Rattus norvegicus: one gene and its partners. The protein of the gene in region 1 purifies or fractionates together with the protein of each later gene. This does not show direct contact. Links are inferred from orthologs where the notes say so. Each region holds a gene or a part of one and is shown in the gene's direction. Other genes may lie near its edges.

Region 1 (3,747 bases):
GTGATAGCCAGAAGGAGTGTGTGCTTTTAAAAGGTGATGCTGTCTAAAGCTTCTTCACTGTGCCAGTTCCTCAGCCTTCTCTCTCCTCACAGTGTCTCATCCTACTCTTTAACCTTTCCCCTAGACCGCCCAGAATGCTGGTGCCGAGACTCAGCCACTGATGAACAGCTATTCAGGTGATGACAAGGAACCCACGGACAAAGAGAGGGATTCTAGACACCAGGCAGTTGGGGCAGGAGGCATGGGCCTGGGGGAAGGAGGGTGGTGTAGAACTCCGGACTGTGGGCAACATACCTTCTCTGTCAGGTGTGAGCTGTCAGTGGAAAAGTCCACAGTGCTGCAGTCTGAGCTTGAATCCTGTAAGGAGCTGCAGGAACTAGAGCCTGAGAATAAATGTAAGATCCTCCCGTGAGCCAGCTCCTGAGAACTACGTGGAGAAAGCCCGTCCCGGGAACCTCCTTGAGCAGAGAGTCTTCAAGAGACTGTAAACCTCTCTCCGTCCTCTCCCTAGGGTGCCTGCTGACCATCATCCTGCTGATGCGAGCACTGGACCCCCTCCTCTATGAGAAGGAAACACTGCAGTACTTCAGTACCCTCAAAGCAAGTTGGACCTGGGGGAGGACAGGCCAGGGGAGGCCCAGTGGGCCATTAGAAGGCAGGTTGGACTGGAGAGGTGGCTCAGTGGTTAAGAGCACTGACTGCTCTTCCAGAGGTCCTGAGTTCAATTCCCAGCAACCACATGGTGGCTCGCAACCATCTGTAATGAGATCTGATGCCCACTCTGGTGTGTCTGAAGACAGCTACAGTGTACTTACATATAAATAAATAAATCTTTAGAAGGCGTAACTGCCTGCTTCTTCCCCACCAGGCTGTGGACCCAATGAGAGCAGCTTACTTGGATGACCTGCGCAGCAAGTTCTTGCTGGAGAACAGTGTTCTCAAGATGGAGTACGCTGATGTACGCGTGCTGCACCTGGCTCACAAGGTACGGACTCAGCGTGGGCTGCTTCCCCTGGCCCCTTCCTCGCTGCTGTCTCCCCACCAGGGTGACTCCACCATCTTTCTTTTAGCCTGCTCCTTCATTAGGCCTTGCTTCCTGTCAGTCAGTTCTTCATCCTGCTTGTTCCCTTGTTTTAAATCCTGAACCATCAAAGCTCATTGGTAAGGCCCTGGGTTCAATTCCCAGGGCTGAAAGCAAATTTCTTTTAAAGGCCTTTTACCACCCATCCGTGCATTCCTGTGCTTCTACATTGTTTCTAGAGATTTTTGAAAGCTGCCCAGGCAGCGCTTTTCGTGTCTCTAGTCATCTTAACAGATCCGTTTTGCCTCGTCACTGCGGCCCAGCACAAGCCCACTCCTACCTTTCTGTTTGCTCTAGGACATGCCGCTATCCTCTGCCCCACACTTGAGGTTTCCTCTCCCTGTCTCCTCTCACTAGCCACCCCTCCGTAACCCTGTCTGTCTGTCCCCGTCCCTGACATAGCATGTGGATCTGGCTATTTGTTTCTTACACGCGGCCAGCCTCTGACAAGGGTCTTGTAAGGTCCGTATGGAACGCAGAGCAGGTGGCTAAAGATGTCCTAGCTCTTGCCGAGTTTTTCCCCCTCCCCCCAACTCCTAGGATCTCACAGTGCTCTGCCACCTGGAACAACTGCTCTTGGTCACTCATCTTGACCTGTCCCATAATCGACTCCGAGCCTTACCCCCAGCCCTGGCTGCTCTGCGCTGTCTTGAGGTAAAGTATGCATCCCTTCCATTCTGTCTGGGGTACCCCTTTTCCACTCAGAAGTTTGCCTATGTTACAGCAGGACCTCCTGACCTCTGACCCCTGCAGGTAACCACTTCGCCAGCCCCCTTGACTATATAGCCTGGCCCTGTGAGCTTTTTCGCACACCTAAGCTGGTCACTCTGGGCTCCTCCATGGCTTATACTGGTCCCAGGCTGCCTGATTGACCTTGTGTTTCCCCATCTCCCTGCTCCTCAGGTGCTGCAGGCCAGTGACAATGCCCTGGAGAACGTGGATGGTGTGGCTAACCTTCCCCGGCTACAAGAGCTGTTACTATGTAATAACCGTATCCTCCCTCAGTCTCCTTTGCAGACAGCTACTAGGGCAGAGAGCAGGCTGTAGGGGGACAAACCGCAGACACAGACAGCAGACAGCTCACAGGGCAAGGAGCAGGCTGCAGGGGGATAAACCACACACACAGGCAGAATCATCTCCAGGCAGGACAGGAAGCAGGGCTTGGGCAGGGTGAGCTGAAAGGGGAGATGATAGCCTGGGGCTGTCTGTGACTATTATTAACTTTTACTCTGGAGTTCTGTGGAGTGTGGCTTCCACAAGCCAGAGTTCACAGGCAGGCAGCTGTAGAGATTCTTAGGAACCACACAGTAGTCTAGAAATCGGGAAGTTCCATATTTTTTAAAATTCTTTGATCTCTCTTGAAAATGGAGGGTTAGGGGGTTGGGGATTTAGCTCAGTGGTAGAGCGCTTGCCTAGGAAGCGCAAGGCCCTGGGTTCGGTCCCCAGCTCCGAAAAAAAAGAAAAAAAAAAAAAGAAAAGAAAAAAGAAAATGGAGGGTTAGAGCATCTTTGACCCTCATTTACATGTAGCCACTTAACAGCCCTCTCCACCTCTTTTTTTTTTAAAGATTTTATTTATTATATATGAGTACACTGTCACTCTCTTCAGACAACACCAAAAGAGGCCATCAGATCCCATTAGATGGTTGTGAGCCACCATGTGGTTGCTGGGATTTGAACTCAGGACCTCTGGAAGAGCAGTCAGTGCTCTTAACCCCTGAGCCATCTCTCCAGCCCTCCGCCTCGCTTTATGATCACACAAGGACTTGCTTCCCACAGCCCCCTCTTCAGCCAGATGTTCTACAGTGCCTGCTGAGGCTTTATCCTCCCCAGGAAGCCTGTCAGACACCATCAGACTTGCTTCCTAGTGTCTGCTGAGGGATTTATCCTCCCAGGGAAGCCCGTAAGACACCATCAGACTTGCTTCCTAATGTCTGCTGAGGGATTTATCCTCCCCGGGAAGCCTGTAAGACACCATCAGACTTGCTTCCAAGCAGCAGCTTCTAGCTTTGGGGTGTCCAGTGGCAGAGAATGGGTGGGGTAGAGCTACTGAGCCTTCCTTGACTCTACTGCCCAAGGCCTCCAACAGTCTGCAGCAATCCAGCCTCTTGTCTCCTGCCCCAGGCTAGTCCTCCTCAACCTGCAGGGCAACTCGCTGTGCCAAGAAGAGGGCATCCAGGAGCGTTTGGCTGAGATGCTACCGTCTGTCAGCAGCATCCTCACCTAGGAGGCCCTGCCTCATCCTCACCTTTAACTTACTGGGACTGAATAAAGTGTGGAGAGGCCCCTCTACCACTTGACCGCTGCCATGACAACACTACCTCCATTACCACCACTGTTTTGAAGAAAGGAAGGGAGGGGCTCTGTGGTGAGGGTCTACTGCCCTGTGATACTCTCTACCCAGAGCCTCTGTGTTCATGTCTGGTCAGGACCACAGCTGGATTTGAGTTCATCATCAGTTTTGGGGCTGTCATGGGAGCCTAGCTTGAGACTGGGATAGAAATCGGGCTCGGGTTATGATTTGGGCTGAGCCTCAGAACAGCTGTCTCTAGCTGGAAGAGACTGTGAACCTTTCTCTCGTGAGTCTGCCAACTTCAGACTTTGTGTCCTGACCCCTGCTTCATTCACAACGGAATAGGCTCAGGACCTCAGTGTTTGAGAAAGAAT
Region 2 (3,747 bases), on another chromosome or scaffold:
AGTTATACAAGGTTGTGAGCTACCATACAAGCATAGGGAGCATAGGAATAGAATCTGGTCCTGTAGTAGAGCAGTCTGTGATCTTAAACATTGAAGTACATTTGTAGCTTCCCCTTTATTTTATTATTTTTAACTGATACGTAAAGTTGTGCATAATTACATGGAATCATGTGTTCTTTAGAAACACATACATCACTTAATGCTTTAATAATATTAAGTGTATCCCTTATTTGTTATTAAGCATGTTACCTAGAGGTTGAGAAGATTATTCATTGTTGAAGGAAGAGCTAATGTGGGGAGGTCATAGAGATTAAGAAGGAAACAATGTATGGAGAATGATAAGTAGCTGAGACTGTAGATAGTATAAAGGATTGTTATTTTGAAACTCTCGAAAAATAGCTATAAAAATGATTCCTTGGATTAAAAAGTACTTTACTCACTACAGTGTACCCCATTGCCTATTTTTGCTTTACTATTTTCAGACAAATGTGTTTTAAATAAGGTAGAGTGTGAGCTGACAGACCTTGAAAATACTCATGAGAGTTATATTAACTGCTTGACATAGACAGTCTTAAGCTCCCTTATCAAATATGCCCACTTCCATATTAAATCTATTTAATGTTAATCATTTCTCCTCAACATTGCAGGAGAAACTTGTATGCGTTCTCCTTATTTTGGCAGAAAATCAGATTCTGAAACAAAAGATTTATAAACCATCTACTATTCTTTAATACTCTTTCACACTCCCCCATCCCCCACTCTCACTGCCATCTCTAAAGCAAAGTTAATGTTGTAACTTACTTTGCTAGGCGGCAATTTGAAATTCTGTGAGGAATTCTATTCTGTGGAAACTAGGCAAAGAGTTTTTTGTTTGGTTCTATTCTCTCTGGGAAGGCACAGAGACAAAAAGACAGTATTGGTATAAAGTGAAAAGAGATTCCTCAGGTTCTAAAAATGCAAATACAGACATGCTAGGGGAAACAGTTTTCCTGGCTTGAATGATTCATTTGTTCAAAGTGAGCCCCTTTGAATTTCACTACTGCCTGAGCATCTCTGATCAATTTTTGCTTGGTAATTGTCAAAGGGGTATACAAACTTTCCTCATTCATCCTTGCTTGAGGAGTCGAATAATTACGTTTCATTTCCATATCAAACTGCTAGGATAAGTAAGGTATATCACTGAAGTCTGTGAAATAAATCTAGCTTTTACCATTTGCATTAACATTTTAATGCTACTCTGTTGTCGCCTACCTGCACCCGCTACCCTAAAACTACAACACCCAGAATGCACTGTTTTTCCTTCCGCTTTCTACCTAGGTAGTGCCTTAGAAATTCACAGCTACAAACTACAGTCACATGACACGTTTCCTGTCAAGATGGCGGATAATCTCCCTTCGGACTTTGATGTGATCGTAATAGGGACGGGTATGTGTGGCCCTGATTTTCGCTGGACAAAATATAGAAAATAATTCTCGCTTTTTATTTTCTCTGTCAGTGGTGAGGGTTGGCAAGAAACGGCGGGGGTCGAGCCTGGGAGGGAGGACAGAAAGGAAGTGAGGTAGTCTGGAGTCAGCGCGGGACTTGGCAGCTCCAGGGAGGGGCTTGGACCCGCGGTGTTTTGCGCCATTTGAGTAGGGGTCGATCTGGTCGATGCCGATTGCTGAGGTTGGTTGCTGTGGTGATTCCTGTTAATTTCCTTAGAGGAAGGTGGGTTTGCAGTGTCATGACAATGGAGGATCGGGATTTGATCAATGGAGACGCCGTTGGCACAAATAATTGCCACCTTCCCTCCTTGTTGATTTCAAGGTTATATTCCCCATCGTTTCAGGTCGCCATTTCATAGAACGCCCCCCTCCCCCCGCACGCCCCCATATACTTACATGAGCTAGGGTACATTGCAGCTCAGATGCAGCCTAATTTGCAGTTTTATAAAAATGATACTCAGTCGTTACACGTGTGTATTTTTACTAAAGGAAAGAAAAAGTACTCTTCCCTGTTGTGTTGAGTAGTTAAGTATTTTTTTTTTCTTGAGGTTCCTGCATTACGAAGTTTAAAGCATCCTAGTTCATAATGCAGAAAGCATCTTGTTTTCTGTCACCTATTAACACACCACAACTAGATGTGCTGAGAGTAAGCTCCAGTGTTCCACAACCCGTGTCTGAGCTCAGCTTCCCCTAGCTCTTCCATCATTTGTTCTCCATGTTTTGGGTGGAGCCAGAAATCCTTTTCAGCTTCTAGTTGACTAGTTAATCCTATAATGCTTGGCGACAATTAGCTATTCTTATCTTAACTGTAAGTTTGCATAGGATAAAAGAGATAGTTTGGGGAGGGGGGCGGATTCTACTGTCTTAGAATATGCTAGGCCATAGAAGCTTTGGTCATTGGGATCTTGTCTGTTGTGTTAATGAATTCTGTTTGCTTTCTTACCAAACAGTAAGAACAGCTATATTTTCAGGTTTAGAGTAAAAGTGATAGCAACCCATTTTCTAATACTTACCGTTCCCTAATCAATGAACTTAAGCACTTCATATAATCCGGTCAAAAACCTTGGTAAAATTGGTATCCTTTTCAGTACACAAAAGAAAAGAAGCAGCTTGGAAGTCTAACTTGCCAAAATCACACAGCTAGTAAATGTCCAGTGGCTAATACCATCCAAGAAATGGAATTCAGGGGTTTTTGTTTGTTTTTTGTTTTGTTTTGTTTTTGACTCAAATTTGAACTATGTTATCACAAATACCAGGGAAACCTGCTCTAGATTATGCAATGGGAGGGTCTCAAGCGGTTCAATTTCTACCATTTTGAATATAAGGAAGGTAACTCAGATAGCCTTTAAGGTATTATCCAGAACACAGATTCTCATATTCTAGATGTACCTGGGTAAGTTGTTCTCAGAACAGTGGGGGTGTGTTTGCTCCCAGCCTGAAGATAACCGCTGAGCAGCTAACCTGGTGCTTCCTGGAATGAGCAGATGTTAAAGGAGAGCTTGAAAGATGAAGTAGAACGTTCAGTTTCCCCAGTGTGCCTGCCTAAAACCGAAAACGCCATCCATTTTAGAATAAGTCTTTTTTAAATTATACTTGGAGTCTCTGTATTTATTTGGGTGATGTGTTATTTTTCTTAGCTATTTTAATTCTTTTAGATACATTAAAAGTGAAAACATTTGTTGAAAGTCATTTTTTAAATAAAATCATTCTTAAGATTTCAATCATTGCTTTTAATTGGCTTCGTTATTGAAACATTGTGATTTCCTTCTCAAATACATTGCTAAGGGTAGACTTTAAATGTGTTGACTGTATTAAATTTGCACTTAGGAAATTTGTAGGTAAAGCAGTGTTTTATAACTTGGGTTCTGTTATCAAAAGCATAATGAAGCATGTCATTATAAGAAAGAGCTGTGCGTTGTAGCTCCCTTTTAACAACTGTTTAGTTAAACTGTCATCAGAAGACAATTGCTTCATCATGTAGCATCATCTAAGAATGCTTTAAAAGTTTATCAACCTTAAATAATGTGCATCTTTACTTTTTGCATGGCATGGATTAAAGTTTCCTTTAAGGTCATAGTTTCAAGATATGGGAAAATTATATCAGAATACCTAAAGGAACAGAATTAAGATACAGTACTTGAATTGTGGGGGGAAAGATTAAAAAAAAGATTAAAGAGGGAAAACCAATTGGAATCTTGGTGGGGAAGAAAATGGACACAAATTCTTAGAATGTGATCTTTGGCTTTGGTACATATGTCATTTC
Region 3 (3,747 bases), on another chromosome or scaffold:
GAACTTGGAGATGCGCTGAATCTAACACAGTGGGAGGGGCGAACACTCAATTCAGTTTCCACAAATCAGTCATTAGCGCCTATGACAGCTTCAGGTGCGTGGAGCTCGGGACATTTTTCTCTTGTGGGTAGTCGTTGGGGACTGCAGTGGAGACAGGGAAAGCAGGCCTAAAGAAGTGGTGCTCACAATCTATATTTGACTTGTACTATATTTGCATTGCTGCTGGGGAAAGGTCCAGTGGAAAATGTGTGCTGTTCTAAATATATCCTCTCTATACCGGCTAGATTTGGACTGAAGCCTTGGGGGCACTGCTCAAGAGATCACCTCCAAGGAAGCTCTTGGACAGGATTGTGTATCAGGATACTCCTACTGCAGACTGAGAAGGCTTGGGATCCAATGGGAGGGTGACTTGGGTGTCACTCTGATGCTATTTTCTTCCTTTTTCTGGGGCTCTGAGAGGGGCACCTCAGCATACTGTCACAAACTCTGGGACATATCATCTTCCAGCTCTAGAGTAGTTGAGTCTCAGCCTGCTGCTTTTGTTTGTTTGTTTGTTTTGACCTCAGTTTCCCTGTTTGTAAGATCGTTTCGCTGCCTCGGGCATTTCATTGTTTTGTTTTCTTTCTGTTGGGTGTATGAGGTGGGGGTGGGTGTTGTTATAGCTTCACAGGAAAAAGTATTTCATTCAGCATGCTCAACTGAATTAAGCGCAGGCGTTTATAAATATTTATGAATGAATGTATGCTAGGATGATTGACTTAACAGGTGAATGGATGAGATGCTTTCAAGCTGGTTGAGGGGAAATGAGCAGTGAGGACCCGCTGTGGCTTATTTAGCTCGGTAAAGGAGTTTACTTTCTTTTTTTTCCCCTGTACGGTCTCTTCCCGCTTCCACTATGGCTTAAGGGTTAAGGAAGAGGAACAAGAGCTGACTAGACTCCAAAACTTGCCTCTGCAGGTTACAGAATGCGCCTGGGAGGTGGGAAGGGGTGGAAGAGGCGGGCCCCAACTAGGAGGCGGAGTCAGAGGTTCTCAGAGGGCGGGGCCGTACCCTCGAGGGCGGGGCCAAGAGTGTGAGTCGGGGGGCGGAGTAACGGGAGATTCCGGGAGGGAGGAGCCGCAGGCGAGACTGCGGAAGAGCCTTAAGGGGGCGGGGCCAAACGGCTGTTGTTGGGTGGGGCCGCAAGATTGAAGGGCGTGGCGTCGATGGAGGTCCAGTGTAGTGCTTGCTAGTGGGGCGCGGGACTCACGCGGGAGGGCGGGATCTCAAGAACGCTAGGGGGCGGAGCTTCGTGCGGTGGGCGGGGTCCTAGCACTGAAGGGCGGGGTCTCGGGTGCGCGCGGGCTGGGCGGGCCTGGCGCTGCTCCGAGGCACAATGGCCTGAGCTGCAGCCTGAGCGTGAGCTCCACCCGGTTCGCTGCGTGGCGGGCAGCCGGGCGCACGGAGCCCTCTCCCTCACGGCGCGTCGGCGTCGGGCCATGTACTCGGGGAACCGTAGCGGCGGCCAGGGCTACTGGGAGGACGGGGCGGGCGCCGAGGGCGCAGCACCGGCCGGCACGCGGAGCCCCGCGCCTCTCTTCAGCCCCACCGCGTACGAGCGCCTGGCGCTGCTGCTCGGTTGCCTCGCGCTGCTGGGCGTCGGCGGCAACCTGCTGGTGCTGCTTCTCTACTCCAAGTTCCCGCGACTGCGCACGCCCACCCACCTCTTCCTGGTCAACCTCAGTCTGGGCGATCTGCTGGTATCCCTGTTCGGAGTCACCTTCACCTTCGCGTCGTGCCTGCGGAACGGCTGGGTGTGGGACGCCGTGGGCTGCGCGTGGGACGGGTTTAGCGGCAGCCTCTTTGGTGAGTCGCCCGGGACGGGTTCTCCTCGCCTCTCAACTTTCCCTGGGTACCTCAGCTCTGGGCTTCCGTCCTTCCCGGGATCGTCCCTGATAGCCAGTCATCACCCACAACTCCCTGTCTCTCCTCCTCGAGAACCTCCCTTCATCCGTAACCCTCTTCTCTCTTCTCCCAGGAATTCTCCCTTCCACCAGGTCTTCCTCCCCAACTCTCTTTCTCTTCCGCCCCCTCCCTCGGGTCTACACAGCCTTCCTCCCAGCCAGTCATCAACCTCGGCTCCCCATCCCTCTGCAGCACTTAACAAAGTCTCCCTGCTGCCGATCACCTTATGTCCTCTCATCTGTTTTTACTTCCTACTGTAGCTCAACAGGGCATCTCACAGTGGGGGAAAGAAACCAGGGCCTGTAGAGTCCAGAGATGCAAGAAAAAAGTCAACTCTTGAAGAGTGGAGGCGGGGACAAGGAAAGATTTAATTAATAAATGAAGTATTTGTTTCTTAAAGTGACACGTAGAATCCTAAATAACGCAGCATTTTTACCCCCTTTCACTCGTTAGCAATTCTAAACGGTTGAATGCTTCCTAGGGAGTGAGACTGTATTATACTTTTTTTTAATTGTATTCCCTCCACATAGGTTCTGTCACACCAGAGGTTACAAAGGGCTCAAAGAATTCCAACTCACTCTTGCGAATAAATAATTAGCAGGGCAGCCAGTACGTTTAATTAAAGTAGAACTTGTTGATTTCTTGAAGATTTATATTGAGAATTGACAGGTTGAAGGTTGACTAACCCAGGATTCTAAACCTGAGAAAAACGTGTGTGTGTGTGTGTGAGAGAGAGAGAGAGAGAGAGAGAGAGAGAGAGAGAGAGAGAGAGGAGAGAGAAGAGAGAGAGTCTGTGTGTATCTGTCCTAAGGATTTTGTTTGTACAACGACTTACAATAGAAATGGATATTACTTAAGGCTTAAAGTCCCTTTTTACAAACCTTAAAACACATTGATAATTTACTATTACCTTGATCTTGGCAGGTCTTAGAGAAAATCATCTATGTCATATCCCGGAGATGTATGACAAACCCAAATCTCAGAGTATTTGTCATGATTCCCTTTTTAAAGTTTTAAAATAAAATTTAGGAGTTACGGTGGTTTTTTTTTTCCCCCACTACTTGACAATTCTGATACTTTCTTATTCTCTCCCCCCTAATAAACATTCATCTAAGGACTTCCTTTATATAACAGTATTGAACCCTGAGAAAGGTCCGTAAGAGGATATGAGTGGTACATAGGTTGTCTATGTGATTATTCTGTTACCTAAAAATGTTCGTTGGGAGGGTTTTTTAGGCAGATTAATCTTTAAACAAGGTGATGTGTCAGGAGCCTAGCTTGCAGAACCCCTTGGGCGGGCGACAGGTGTTTGAAGACATTAAAGTCCTTTTTTTCTGTGAAGTACTTTTCTGTGCTGTGGTGTTCAGTGTCTCCATCTGGGGCTGAGAAAACAAGACTGGGTTGAGTTTTTCTTATGTCTGCAGCACCCTGTCTCTCTCTGGCTTGCTCTGCCAAGCTTATCTTCCAGAATCCTCTCTGTCCTTTCTTCCCCTTCTGAATTCCTGCTGGGGTCTGTCAGCATCAGAAGAGATTTCTTTAAAGACTACAAGAAACATCCACCCCGGGTGTTTTACTGGACAGTTCCTTTATTCAGGGCATCTATTAGGACTTTGAATCATGGCCTTTATTCCCATCCTAAAACCCGATGTAGGTCTTGTGGGATTAGAGGATTGGAAATAAGTTACTTCTTGGAGACAAGTCTAGAGTGAGATTGCTGCAGATCTTAACAGCATAATTAGCAAATGATTTCTTTTCCCAGAATATGCTTCTTGAGTAGGGAAAAGGATGGAGGTAGAGAAGACT

What was found.
Region 2: the proteins of Rabggta (region 1) and Chm purify together in Homo sapiens (co-immunoprecipitation; 4 studies listed by BioGRID and IntAct, counting the BioPlex papers as one, with this or other methods). This does not show direct contact. The link is inferred for Rattus norvegicus from reciprocal best matches to the Homo sapiens genes RABGGTA and CHM.
Region 3: the proteins of Rabggta (region 1) and Chml purify together in Homo sapiens (co-immunoprecipitation; 3 studies listed by BioGRID and IntAct, counting the BioPlex papers as one, with this or other methods). This does not show direct contact. The link is inferred for Rattus norvegicus from reciprocal best matches to the Homo sapiens genes RABGGTA and CHML.

What each region holds. Positions count from the first base shown.
Region 1 is NC_086033.1:33,176,565-33,180,311, reverse strand, and holds the end of Rabggta (geranylgeranyl transferase type-2 subunit alpha), read left to right. Parts: coding exon 1-33; intron 34-124; coding exon 125-176; intron 177-306; coding exon 307-395; intron 396-511; coding exon 512-600; intron 601-868; coding exon 869-985; intron 986-1,621; coding exon 1,622-1,735; intron 1,736-1,984; coding exon 1,985-2,072; intron 2,073-3,158; coding exon 3,159-3,307; 3' UTR 3,308-3,385; downstream 3,386-3,747. UniProt on the Homo sapiens protein: Catalyzes the transfer of a geranylgeranyl moiety from geranylgeranyl diphosphate to both cysteines of Rab proteins with the C-terminal sequence -XXCC, -XCXC and -CCXX, such as RAB1A, RAB3A, RAB5A and RAB7A.
Region 2 is NC_086039.1:82,551,821-82,555,567, reverse strand, and holds the start of Chm (rab proteins geranylgeranyltransferase component A 1), read left to right. Parts: upstream 1-1,524; 5' UTR 1,525-1,707; intron 1,708-3,747. UniProt on the Homo sapiens protein: Substrate-binding subunit of the Rab geranylgeranyltransferase (GGTase) complex.
Region 3 is NC_086031.1:90,149,723-90,153,469, reverse strand, and holds the start of Chml (rab proteins geranylgeranyltransferase component A 2), read left to right. Parts: upstream 1-1,372; 5' UTR 1,373-1,478; coding exon of another isoform or gene 1,479-1,845; intron 1,846-3,747. Other genes in the region: Opn3 (opsin-3), read left to right, coding at 1,479-1,845. UniProt on the Homo sapiens protein: Substrate-binding subunit (component A) of the Rab geranylgeranyltransferase (GGTase) complex. Binds unprenylated Rab proteins and presents the substrate peptide to the catalytic component B.